3 linked regions of the Tribolium castaneum genome follow. The protein of the gene in region 2 interacts with the protein of the main gene of each other region in a pairwise test. Links are inferred from orthologs where the notes say so. Each region holds a gene or a part of one and is shown on either strand. Other genes may lie near its edges. The genes, in order: Su(dx), shi and SH3PX1.

Region 1 (4,242 bases), on a different chromosome or scaffold from region 2:
ATTTTGTTAGCTTCGCATTTTATTTTTATCAAACAATTACCTAAACTGGCTAATCTTCCACTTGAACGACCTCTCGTACGCCCTCGGCACCCCATACACCCCCTTGGGCCCTTTGGGCGCCCCCGGCCTGGGATCATCAAACGTTGTAGTCTTCGTATTATGATCGACAAAATATCGCTTCCCCTCGTCCGTATACCTGATCTCCCATCCGGGAGGCAACGGCATATCGTCAATAACCTCCCGTCCTTGAGTCCTCGGATCCTCCCATTGCGTGGTCCGATTTTTGTGATTAACGAAATACACTCGTCCTTCCGGTTGCACTCGCTTCTCCCATCCGGGCGGCAAGGCCCCCAAACCATCGTCCTCATCATCCACAACTGAAGTGCCAGGCATGGGTCCAGGCTGAAACTGCGGGTAGAGAAACCTTTGGTTGCCTTGTTGGACAATGTGCTGTCTCTGGCCTTGCCACTGCTGGAAGTGCTCCAACCGCTCCGAATTCGGCCTCTGCCAGGTGGTGGTGCGCGAATTGTGGTCGACGTAGTAGACCCTCCCGCGGGGGTCGCGCCGCATCTCCCAGCCGGGGGGCAACGGTTGGGGGCGCTCCCACGACGTCGAGCGCGTGTTGTGGTCCACGTAGTAGCGGCGGCCGTAGGTGTCATACCGCATCTCCCAGCCGGGGGGCAGCGGCTCCTCGGCCCTCCCGTCCTCGCCGTCGCTGTTGTGCACGGCGTTGCCGTTGGGCACCGTGGCCGGGGGGCCGATGGTGCCGTTGGGCATGGGCGTGGTGGGCGACAGCGCCGTGCGCGAGGTGCGCCTCTCGGCCGTGGAGGCTCGCGACGCCGTCGGAACGACGTTCTCCGTTCCGACATTGCGCACTTTCGCCCGAATTCCGTTGAAGACGCTGCGATTGGAGACGCTCTGCGCTTCGCAGTTGTTTTGCATGAGGGGGGTCGCACTCGGCCCCGGCTTGTGAAACTTGGACATGTCGACGGTCAAGCCTTGAAATACGCAAATTAATTCGCCGACTTTGGCCGGCGATTCGGTCTTGTTTTCGTTCATGAGATCCAGTGTGAGTTCAAGGTTTTCGCAGCGGCCGCTGAAATGCTGCAACATTTGGAAAAGTTCGACTTTTTTCTCGCCCACGAGGGTGTCTTTGCGGAAATTGTTCTTGTCGTAGACGACGAAGTTTATTTTTGAGTGGGGGGTGACGAGGAGGGTGAAGGTTTCGTTCCATTTCGGTTGAGCGGTGTTTTTCACGCATTCGGTCTTCCGGGGGGAGCCACCGTCCACGCTGATTTCCACGTACGTGGAGGGCTTGATGAAGGAACTGTTACGGAGGTGGGCGCACTCGACTGAAAAATAAAATAGCATTTTTGTAGCGATTTAATAACAAAAAGCTTATCGGTTGTTTGTAAACTTCGACCTTGCCAATAAAAATGCAACATGGATTGCATTTTTCACGGAATGTTTCAAGCAACATAAAAATCTCAAAAATGTTGGAGACAATAGTTCAAAGTTTTGTTTTATTTTTATCCAAAGCTCGATGAAAAATAATCAAACATTTAAAGATAATGGTGTTAAAGATAATGAAGCACGTTATTCGGGAAAACCTACAATAAAATAAAGCAAACAAAACAACTCGCGATAAAAGATAAAAAAATACCAATGAGTACGATTATTAAATTTGCTCATATTTCCCCCGAGTTTTTGTCGCAAAATGATGTCACGACTGGTAATCACGCGATAAAAACCAAAATATTATGCTTAGTAGGTCACATAATAATAACAACAACAGGAAACGGTGCCTTAAAAATGCGAGACAAGTCTCAAATGTGGTGATTTGGTTACTTGGCCACTCTGTGTGTCCTTGAAGCAAATAGGTGATATTATCACGTGAAATTGCACCTGAAAAATGTGTCGACACTTTTGTCCTGTCATCGAAAGGATTAGTCACAACTGTCGCCGGATCGATAAAATTGATCCTAAATGTTGGAAATTACACTTTTTATGACGCGTGTTTCTGGGACGTGCCATCCCAAGTTCCATAATTTATGAAGACTGTAATTAATGCGACTTTCTCGTAATAGCCGACTTGTTCCCCTGCAATTCTTAATTCTAATTAGAATAATCGAGGCGTAGCGGACTATCGCAACATTTTTCACTTTCTAAACATAAACAAATACAAATCGGTCCAGTAAATTAATTAGGAGCTACCTATTGTGCAATTAGCAATACCGCCGAACGCTATTAGAAACAAATAACAACAAAACCTTGCCACACACGTTGTGTAATCAGGTGAAACTGTTGTCTCTAAGACTTTGCCCAAATATTTGCGCTCCTTATCGGAGATTTCGGGGACATACCTGTGATGCCGAGCTGATGGAAGCCGGACCCCTGATCGGCTGAAGGGTCCATCATTTAGAACTGCTCATCGAGACGGTGATAACTAAAACCAAGCATCAGCTGAGACCGCATTTCGGCCAAAAACATCAACTTGACACATTACAACCGAAACGAAAACTTACTTGTGGTGGCCTCACTCCGTTATGATAATGGTGATAATCTTAACAATAGAACGCTTGAATTTTGATAAAAACATGAAATTTCACCGACAGAGTAGCCAAGTAATGACGTAAAAGTGATAACAGTGTGATCACCGACACGTCAGAGAAAACAGCCAAATTATTTCACACACGATTGACGGACACTTTACACCTCAAATCGAGAGTCACGGGGGCCCCACACCGTTTTTTCACACACAAACACTCGTTATTTACGAACTGACCGAAAATTGGCCTCCATGTAAAGCACACACTCCATTCTCCAATACGCACAATGTCGCCAACCGGAGCAAAGTAAAATAACTCATTGATCACGATTTTGGGCGAGATTACGCAAATTGTTTGTGTTATTATGACCCGGTAAACTAATTTGAGGCTTGCTCAAACCTACCACGGCATTATTTACACAAATAAGCCCGTTTTGGCAATAAACTGGGGTCTTTGGTCGTATTGTTGGCAACAAGTGTCATCCTCATCCAAGTGTCATTTTTCCACGTGTGTCAACAAAATGGGGGCCGGAGACAAGAAAATTGAGTGTTTGGTTGTCGATACGACTGCTTTTATCCAAAACGCCCCATTACAAGTACGTGATCTCGTCTGTAATTACCACTTTATAACCTTACGCTTGTAGGACGTTGCGGAGAAAATGGTCACATGTCAAAGTGTCGTTGACGAAATTTTGAACAAAAGACAGCTCAAACGTTTGGTGGTTTTGCCTTATGACCTTCAGGTCAAGGAGGTTTTTCCGGAAAATATCAAAATTGTGACAGAATTTGCAAAGAAAACCGGGGATTACCCAAGTCTGTCTGCCACCGATATCCAAGTTATGGCTCTTACGTATCAGTTGGAGAAGGAAGCGGTTGGGGTGGAGCACCTGCGTACTGAACCCGTCTTCCAGAGGACTGTGACCACCACAGGGCCAACTGTCGATTTACATCCTGACGTAACAGGGTTTTTCCTGCCAGGACACACAAAAATAAAAGATAGACCAGGAGAAACAAATGAAGAAACAGATGAAATTGAGAAATTGCAACAAAAATTCGAAACAATTGAATGCGCTGACGAGGAAACAAGCGAGGATCATGACGTTCTGGTGCCAGTTGACGACGCTAGCGACATCTCTGGATCAAATTCCGACGAAGATGACGATGACGACAGTGGCTGGATCACCCCTTCCAACGTCTCCCAGGCCAAAAAACAAGTCAACTCCCAGCTCATTGAGGAAAAACACGTGAAGATCGCCTGCATGACCACCGACTTCGCGATGCAAAACGTCCTCAAACAGATGAACCTCAATGTGGCCGCCCTTGACGGCCGCATGATCAAACAACTCCGGACCTACATCCTGCGTTGTTACGCCTGCTTCAAGACTACGAGCATCATGACGAAGAAATTTTGCCCCAAATGTGGCCTCAACACGCTCAAAAAAGTGGCGGTCTCACTTAACGAAGACGGCAAACTCCAAATACACATCAACGCAAAGCGCCCTCTAACGGCGCGCGGCAAGAAGTTCAGTTTGCCGCGAATGAAAGGGGGGAAGCACCCGAATAACCCGATCCTGGCCGAGGACCACCCCATGCCCCAAAACAGGGCGAGCAAATTGGCCAGAACCAAGATAAACCCTTTGGACGATGACTACATCGCGGGCTTCTCGCCTTTTGCGGTCAGGGACGTGACCTCA
Region 2 (4,447 bases):
TTCTACAATTTCTTATAAACAATAAATATTAATTAATGAGAAATATTTATATTAATAAAATACTATTTAATTTAAAAAAATTAAAAATATTAACAAATGAACATTTTTATGATTTCTAGAACAAACAATGCTTGCAAAGTGTTTTGTACAAAAAATATGTAAAAAAATAAGTGTTCAACAAACGACTTCTTATTAAAGAATATCAACTCTTGCATAAACAGAAATACAATTTCTTTATTTGTCAATGCTCTTGAAGATACGTTCGATGAATAAGTAGATGTGGTTTATAATTATAAACCTAGAGTTTTCAAAGATATGAAATTACGATTTTCTTCTTTTTTAAAGTTGTAATGTTCTCATTTTTTTATATCAAACGGTTTTATAACGTGAGATTTCTAAATTTTATTTATTTTATTTAGGGCTAATAGTTCATTAAACATTCATAAAAGATATAGGAGTGCAATAGCTAAGTGGAAAAAATTGAGGAACAGCGAAATAATTTTGGAAACATGTTAATTTTAACCAGATACAGCCCCTCAAAAAATCGAATTTTCCACACGCGGCAGTAGGCAGCTGTGGAAAATTGTGCCGCGTGACGTTACACCTAGCGAGACCAGTAAAGTGCACAATCTGTCAAATTTCGAACTTTGAGGTCTCTTAACTTTTTTATTTTTGCGAATATAAAAAAATGAAAAGTACCATTAGTTTTACAATTATGGAGACTATTAATGGTGTTAATTTGAAAAAAATGGAAACTTCCTCATTACCAAGACTGTATCAACTTTACCGTCACGCCCTGTATAAAAAATTTTTTTGGGATGTGTTCATCAGTCATCATTTCCTGGAATAATTTTTGAAAAATGGAGCAAATAACAAGTCAGTGAATTTGTTTATTTTATTACTTAATTTTTCCGCAATCAAATATGATTTTTTTCCTCTTCCGCACTACATAATCACATGAATTTCTGGTTGAAAACACTCGACGTTCATTAGAGAACACTTTTCATTTTAAATTAAATTTGAATAAACTTTCCAACTTTTACTCTTTCTTGTTAAACATTTAATTTCTGCTACCCATGATTCACCCAATTGGTGCGTCACAATTTGTTATAAATTTAACTGTTACTTGAGGTGCGTTTAAAATGACACACATTCCAAATCCACAAAGAACAGTTTTATTGTTTAATCGTAAAAATTTAGCTCATGATATCGGTCACGAAATCTTAAAAATATTGTGGAAGGTTCAAATGTGTGATTAAATTTTGATAAGATTATCGAATTTTTCATTAAAACATGCGCTTAAAAATAAATCGAATTCTTGTAAAGCAAGTCAAACAAAACGGTCCAATGAACTTGCAGAATTGTTCACTTGGAACGTTTCAAGCCCACCTTTTTCTGTTTACAAAGAAAATAAATTCGGAATTGTTTAAAAAAGTGATGATAATCATTTTTAGGGCGAGTGGAATTCAAAGCGGTCATAAATCACATGCTTTATTACCGCTTTGGAGCAAAAATAAACGAAAAACTGGGGGAATGTGTTTGTACTTTCGAGAAGCCATTTCCGCGATTTAAAATTATAAAACAATTATTTTCATAGCTAACGAAACCAACGTTGGTAATGATAAACGAAATGCATTTGTCATAAGCCTAAATGACTTAAAACATGTCACAAGCTAAAAACAATTGTGAGATAAATTGAAGGTTGTGTCCATAATTTAAAAAACAGAAAAAATAAATTAATAACAGGTGCATTTGTTCAACTATTTCGTAATGAAGTAATTTTATTTTTTTCACTTAGCCTGTTTTTTGAAATTAAAACGAAACTTAAAGACTTTTTGAGGATTACAGTTGGTACAACAATTTTTTGCCATAATTTGGGTTGGTAGCAGTAGTTGGGTTGCACCCTGTATGTCACGGCCAAGCCTGATTAACTTGTCATTTGCGAATTTCCTGGGCCATAAATGTTTGGTACGGTTCCAAAACTTTTACAACCGACCTTGTACCGGACAAAAACAAAACAATGCACTAATTTGAGACAAGATTTTTGACAACGTTATTGCCAACTGATAAAATTATCAATTAAAAAATAAGCTGACGTAGACTTGGAGCAATTGTCTCCTGAGCCACCGTCAATTGTTTTGAGGGCTGCCAACCGTGGCATTTTAAACCCCCCAACTCACCCGAATTGGAGTTAATCAATTGTAGGATAAGGGGCCTTCTGGTGACAATCCCGGATCCTCTCGGAAGGAAGTCTCTGCAAGAAACGATAACAAATGTCATTCAACTCGTTATCAAAATTATTTAAAAATCAATACACCCCCACAGACCGACGTGACGTCAACCCACCCCCGTATTAACAATGCACGCCCCCAGAAAGGGGCTGCTCTACTCACTTTCCGACGAAATTCTCCAAAACGGAGCTTTTTCCAGCCGACTGTCCGCCCACAACAGCGATTTGGGGCAGATCCAGGCTCATGTGCACCCCCAACTGGGTGAAAGCGTCTTGCAGCTTATTCACGATGGGAATAAGCTGCTCCATTCCGGAGTTTCCTGCCATTTTTAGGCCGGAACTGTGCTAATTTCCCTCGAAAACAACTAAATTCACTTCGACACTTTAACAATATACACTTGGGAACATGGCCGAATCATAACTGAACGCGCATGACTCATCCATTTACACTTCACGACGAGATATATCACAAAATTACACGTTTCGGGGAGAATTGGGCGATAGAACAGTGATTACAGTGATAAGGGAACGATTTTTTCAAGAATAAATGTCAAACTCAAGCTGATAAAATGGGATTTTTGAATTCGGAGTGATATCAATACAGCGGCGCATGCGCACTCAACAACTGTTTTGCTGGTTGCATAAGCGATTTATTTGGATTTTGGATTCTGGGAATTGGGATTTATCCCCGATTATGTAACGTAGAGACTCTTTTTATGTCGCACAGTTTGGGAAAACATCGTGTATATTGATCAAATGACGCAATATACGCAGTGTTTTGGGCTAATGTGATCAAATGTCAAATTTCCATGGCCTACTCACTGTAACTAGCAAAGAAAGATAGTTTTTGAGATATGTTTTTTTGTACAAAAATAAAAATTCTTAGGTTTAATCAAATCATAATCACTTTAAAATCACTCAAAAATTCTTCAAAAATTACTTTTTTTATGCATCGCAAAAATGTACCAACTATATACAGGGTTATTCGCTTAAGGTTACGCGCCTGACCCGGTCAAAGCTGCAAAACACAAGACATTTTATAAAGTTAACTAGATTCTATTCGTAATTTCCATGGTAGTTCTTCATTAGGACAATTAATAAATTGCGGTTGAGGAGTCAGACGTGATATAATTGACTTTTTTTAATTTTGTTTTTGAATTATTTTTAATGTCTTACTCATATGTGCTCTTGCTATAAATACAGTTTAGCTACAGCAAAAGAAAATGCCACAAAAGTATTTCGAATGAAATGTTAAATGTGTGACATTACTATTATATTGTATTGAATATGTTTTTAATTAATTTTTTAACGTACAAGATGAGTCAATACTGGATTATTTTTTAATTTTTCTTAATATGCAACCAATGATTCTAGCAGACCAGATCGGTAATCATCAAAACATTTAAAATTAATCCGCGATTACATTGTTTGGGTATTGTCAAGTTAGTTTCAACAATGTTGAAACATTTGATGTTTTAAAAAATTAAATAGTCTCCAGGTGGTAAGTGTAATTAGTATTTTTGGTTTCATCTTAGAACATGTCAGAAAAAAACCCACTGTTGACTCCTTGTATTGTACGAAAGACTGTAACTTAGGAAACAAAACGAGATACAAACTTGCCGGTTTTTCTGAATACAAAAAAATAGTACGGCTGAGTAAAAATGTGAGCGCTTAAAATTTTCATAAGAAACATAAAAAAATTCAATCTGCGTTCCACCTCATATTCCTGCAAACTCTGCAAATACGGGTGAAGATACAAATAAAGTGTGAAGAATAAAATTATAAAGAATTAAATTTTCTTCAAAAAAGTCCGGAGACCATATTCCTATCTTTAACGGTTTTGGTTTTAATAGTCTATCTGGTACTTGACTACCGGGAAAATAAAATAAATCCGTCGTTTGGGTGTATTTAAACGAGTTTGGGATAGAACATAAGGCTTTTTTGTAGGAAATTTAATTCTCTACAACTTTCTTTTTAACTGTTAAAAATATGGTGCATTTTTTAACATAGTTTTCGAAAAAAAATTGTATTATGTTTATGTTTTGTTTCATTCATTGTACTGAAAACTGCGCTCTCTGACGACATTAACGGAACTATCAAGGACGGGAACGTTTTATTTGTACGTCGTATCATATCCTAATCCTTAGATATCCGTAGTTATGACAATGTTAAAAAAGTTATTAATTTTTTCCTATTTATCATCAAGTAGAAAAACTT
Region 3 (2,827 bases), on a different chromosome or scaffold from region 2:
GAATAAACAGCTCAGATAACGTCTGAGAAGAACTTAATACGTATGGCGGCATTGTAGACGTATAATTTGGAGGAGTTTGCGTGCCGTCTGTAGGTGTACTTATGTAATAAGGGCCATCGAAGAGCACAAAGGAGTGCCTTGTTCCTGACCACGATCCGTGAGAATCTCATCGAATTGATAATTAAAATGCAGAATGCACTCATTGACAAATACGGAGCTAACGTGGGCGTGACTTTGTGAAAAGTTGAACGACCATTATCACACTTACCAGGAAGATTATATTGAAGAAGTTTAACACGTTTTTGACAACGTTCAAGCCGCAGCACTCTCTGCTGCCCATTTCGACGGCCGCTTAGTGCCTTTCTGCCCCCATCTGTGAAAAATATTTTGGTTATTTTTAGGATTGTTTGGGTCGTTAAATTTTATAGCTAATCCTGCTTGAAATAGCATGAATGAGCGTCGGGTCAATTTCTAATTCCTGATATGGTCAAAGCCGGTCGATTTTATTGATGTTACAGAAGCGTCCTTTCCGTTTGCCTTAAGTGGTTTAAGGTCACGATTTCCAATTGACGGAGAGTAATGATCTTTTGTCTCGGGAGGAGAATAAAACCAGCGTTCGTGTAAGCACATTTATTACATCTGACTTAACAAAATATATAGAAATATACAATTACATTTCATGTACAAAATATGTCTCGGTGATTCTATTAAATAAAAATTAATGTAAACGTTGGAATTTCCATAATATACACAGCACGTAAGGATAAACATATAACAGATTATATAATAAAAAGTTAAATCACAATTGTTTTGGCTTGGAAATAAACACGATAGATGATAACAAGGCAAGAAAAACTACTCAAACTTCCTCAAGGTGTCTTCCAATCTGCTCACTACATTTTTGTAATAGTTGACCTGTTCTTGCAAAAACGACCGCATGGCTGACCGAAATTCGGTGTTCATCTCAGCCTGGAAATGGTCGAGTTCGGCGAAAACCGAGTAAGTCAGAACATCGGTGCGCTTCCTAACTTCAGTGATTTGCTGGTGTGAGAACTGCGTGTTCCTTTCACACTCCTTCTTCTTTTGTTCGGCGTGTTTTTGCATCGAGAAAATATCGGGGTACGAACTCGTGATCCCCCTGTAGAGGTACAACTTATCGGTTAGCGGCTGCCAATCGATTTTCGCCTGATCTTCGCACAACTTGGCGATTTCAATATAAGTGGTCCCAATTTTCTTCACATCTGAAACAACCAGATTATTCCAAGTCTCCAATCACCTGCAGGTACCTGTGGCCAAATCCGAGAACAATCCACCTTCCCTGTGCTCGAACGCGACCCCGAGCTGGAAAAAGCTCTCGCCAATTTTCGTATGTTCTCTTTTATACAAATTCTCGCATTTTTTCTGCTGATCGGACGCCGTCTGCATCAAGCCCTTGATGCACTGGTCCATTTGGTTAATGTACGATATGCTACTCTCAATTTTACTTTCAATAGTCGACGCTAACAAGTCCTTATCTGGGGCCTCGATGCACAGGCAAAAGTTCGCCCCGACTAACTGGTCTTTCTCCGCTTTTCTCTTGCCTTCCTTCCACTGTTTTTCGTTAGTGCAGGTGAGAAAATGCCTCCAAACGTCGCAAGTCGACAGAACTGGATGTCGACACACGTAATTGACAAACTCCTGCAGCTGCACTCTCCGGTGCTCGATGAAATGCTCCTCATACCGGCCCGAAATCTGTTTATCCGGTAGCGGAGGAATTGCGATTATGTTGAACTTTTCGGAGAGGCGGTCGTGCAGCCAGTCGAAGTGTTTGTAACGGCGGGATACTTCGATTCCGGTGAACGATGGTGTTAATTGATATGCGATGAATGATTTGAGGCCGCCCATTTTTGACGCTTTTTTTGGTGAGGTCACTTGGACCGTGTACGGGTCCGAGATCAGTTCCCATCGGAACACGTTGTCGTTTTCTCGAAATATTCGAATTTTTGTGTGGGATGGGATGTCTTTTAACGTGCCTGAAAAGCGATTGATCGATGAGGGCGATGCGCGCCTCCGGTTGTTGTTTTTTTCAGATTGTACGCATTATCTCATTTAATTAGCATTTATTGATTGTTTATTGGAACAATCAAGGGAGTAAAGATCGAAATATTAAATTCAAATTTTATCAGTATTAATTATTTCTATTGTTTCGTTGATAATAAACAAGGAGTGGAATCCAACATTGTTTAAAAAATGTATTGTGACTTCGTCAATATTTGTAAAATCGATTATTTTTTTTACTTTTAAGTAGTTACGAAAGACGTCTTTTTTCAGTTGGGTATAGTTTGTATTTTTTTTATTGTAACCAAGATCTCATCCAGGTCTAGGAATTACAAACCAAATACATACGAAATATAATGTAATAAACAATATTAAAAAAACAAAATATCTCGAAACTTACGCAAACGATAGCGTAGAATTTTTATGCTTAAATGTCATGTAATGTTTATTTTTTATTAATTTAATTTAGGGTCGGTTTCCCGAATTAATTTATAAAACTCAAAATTTGACGACTTTTTATTTGTAATTCAGTTATGAAAAATAGATACGGGTAATAATAATCGATCTTTTAACGTGTCGGCGCAACATAAATAATTTATAAAATTAATTTCTCAAACAGATACGTTAGCAATTACTGATCTCTAGCGCCATTTTTTAAAATACTTTTAGAACAATAGAACATTTAAGCATCGTATTTTTCAGAATGACATAAGAAATATTTTCTTGTGCATACATTTATTATGCTAATAAATTCATTAAATAATTTTGGTTATAAGAAATTATAGAAAAA

What was found.
Region 1: the proteins of shi (region 2) and Su(dx) interact in binary tests that used the Caenorhabditis elegans proteins (3 or more experiments, as listed by UniProt). The link is inferred for Tribolium castaneum from reciprocal best matches to the Caenorhabditis elegans genes dyn-1 and wwp-1.
Region 3: the proteins of shi (region 2) and SH3PX1 interact in a two-hybrid assay, tested with the Caenorhabditis elegans proteins (2 studies listed by BioGRID). The link is inferred for Tribolium castaneum from reciprocal best matches to the Caenorhabditis elegans genes dyn-1 and lst-4.

Annotation. Positions count from the first base shown.
Region 1 is NC_087398.1:5,360,651-5,364,892, forward strand, and holds the start of Su(dx) (E3 ubiquitin-protein ligase Su(dx)), read right to left. Parts: upstream 2,833-4,242; 5' UTR 2,526-2,832; intron 2,447-2,525; 5' UTR 2,419-2,446; coding exon 2,364-2,418; intron 1,353-2,363; coding exon 41-1,352; intron 1-40. Other genes in the region: RNA-binding protein NOB1, read left to right, coding at 3,070-3,144, 3,193-4,242. UniProt on the Caenorhabditis elegans protein: E3 ubiquitin-protein ligase which accepts ubiquitin from an E2 ubiquitin-conjugating enzyme in the form of a thioester and then directly transfers the ubiquitin to targeted substrates. Ubiquitinates klf-1.
Region 2 is NC_087400.1:8,007,311-8,011,757, forward strand, and holds the start of shi (dynamin), read right to left. Parts: upstream 2,842-4,447; 5' UTR 2,558-2,841; coding exon 2,394-2,557; intron 2,255-2,393; coding exon 2,181-2,254; intron 1-2,180.
Region 3 is NC_087402.1:7,277,856-7,280,682, reverse strand, and holds the end of SH3PX1 (sorting nexin lst-4), read right to left. Parts: intron 2,013-2,827; coding exon 1,287-2,012; intron 1,242-1,286; coding exon 856-1,241; 3' UTR 616-855; downstream 1-615. Other genes in the region: CD151 antigen, read right to left, coding at 269-340. UniProt on the Caenorhabditis elegans protein: Involved in the signaling of vulval development by acting as a negative regulator of epidermal growth factor receptor (EGFR) signaling. Aids in phagosomal membrane tubule formation which is required for phagosomal fusion with endosomes and lysosomes.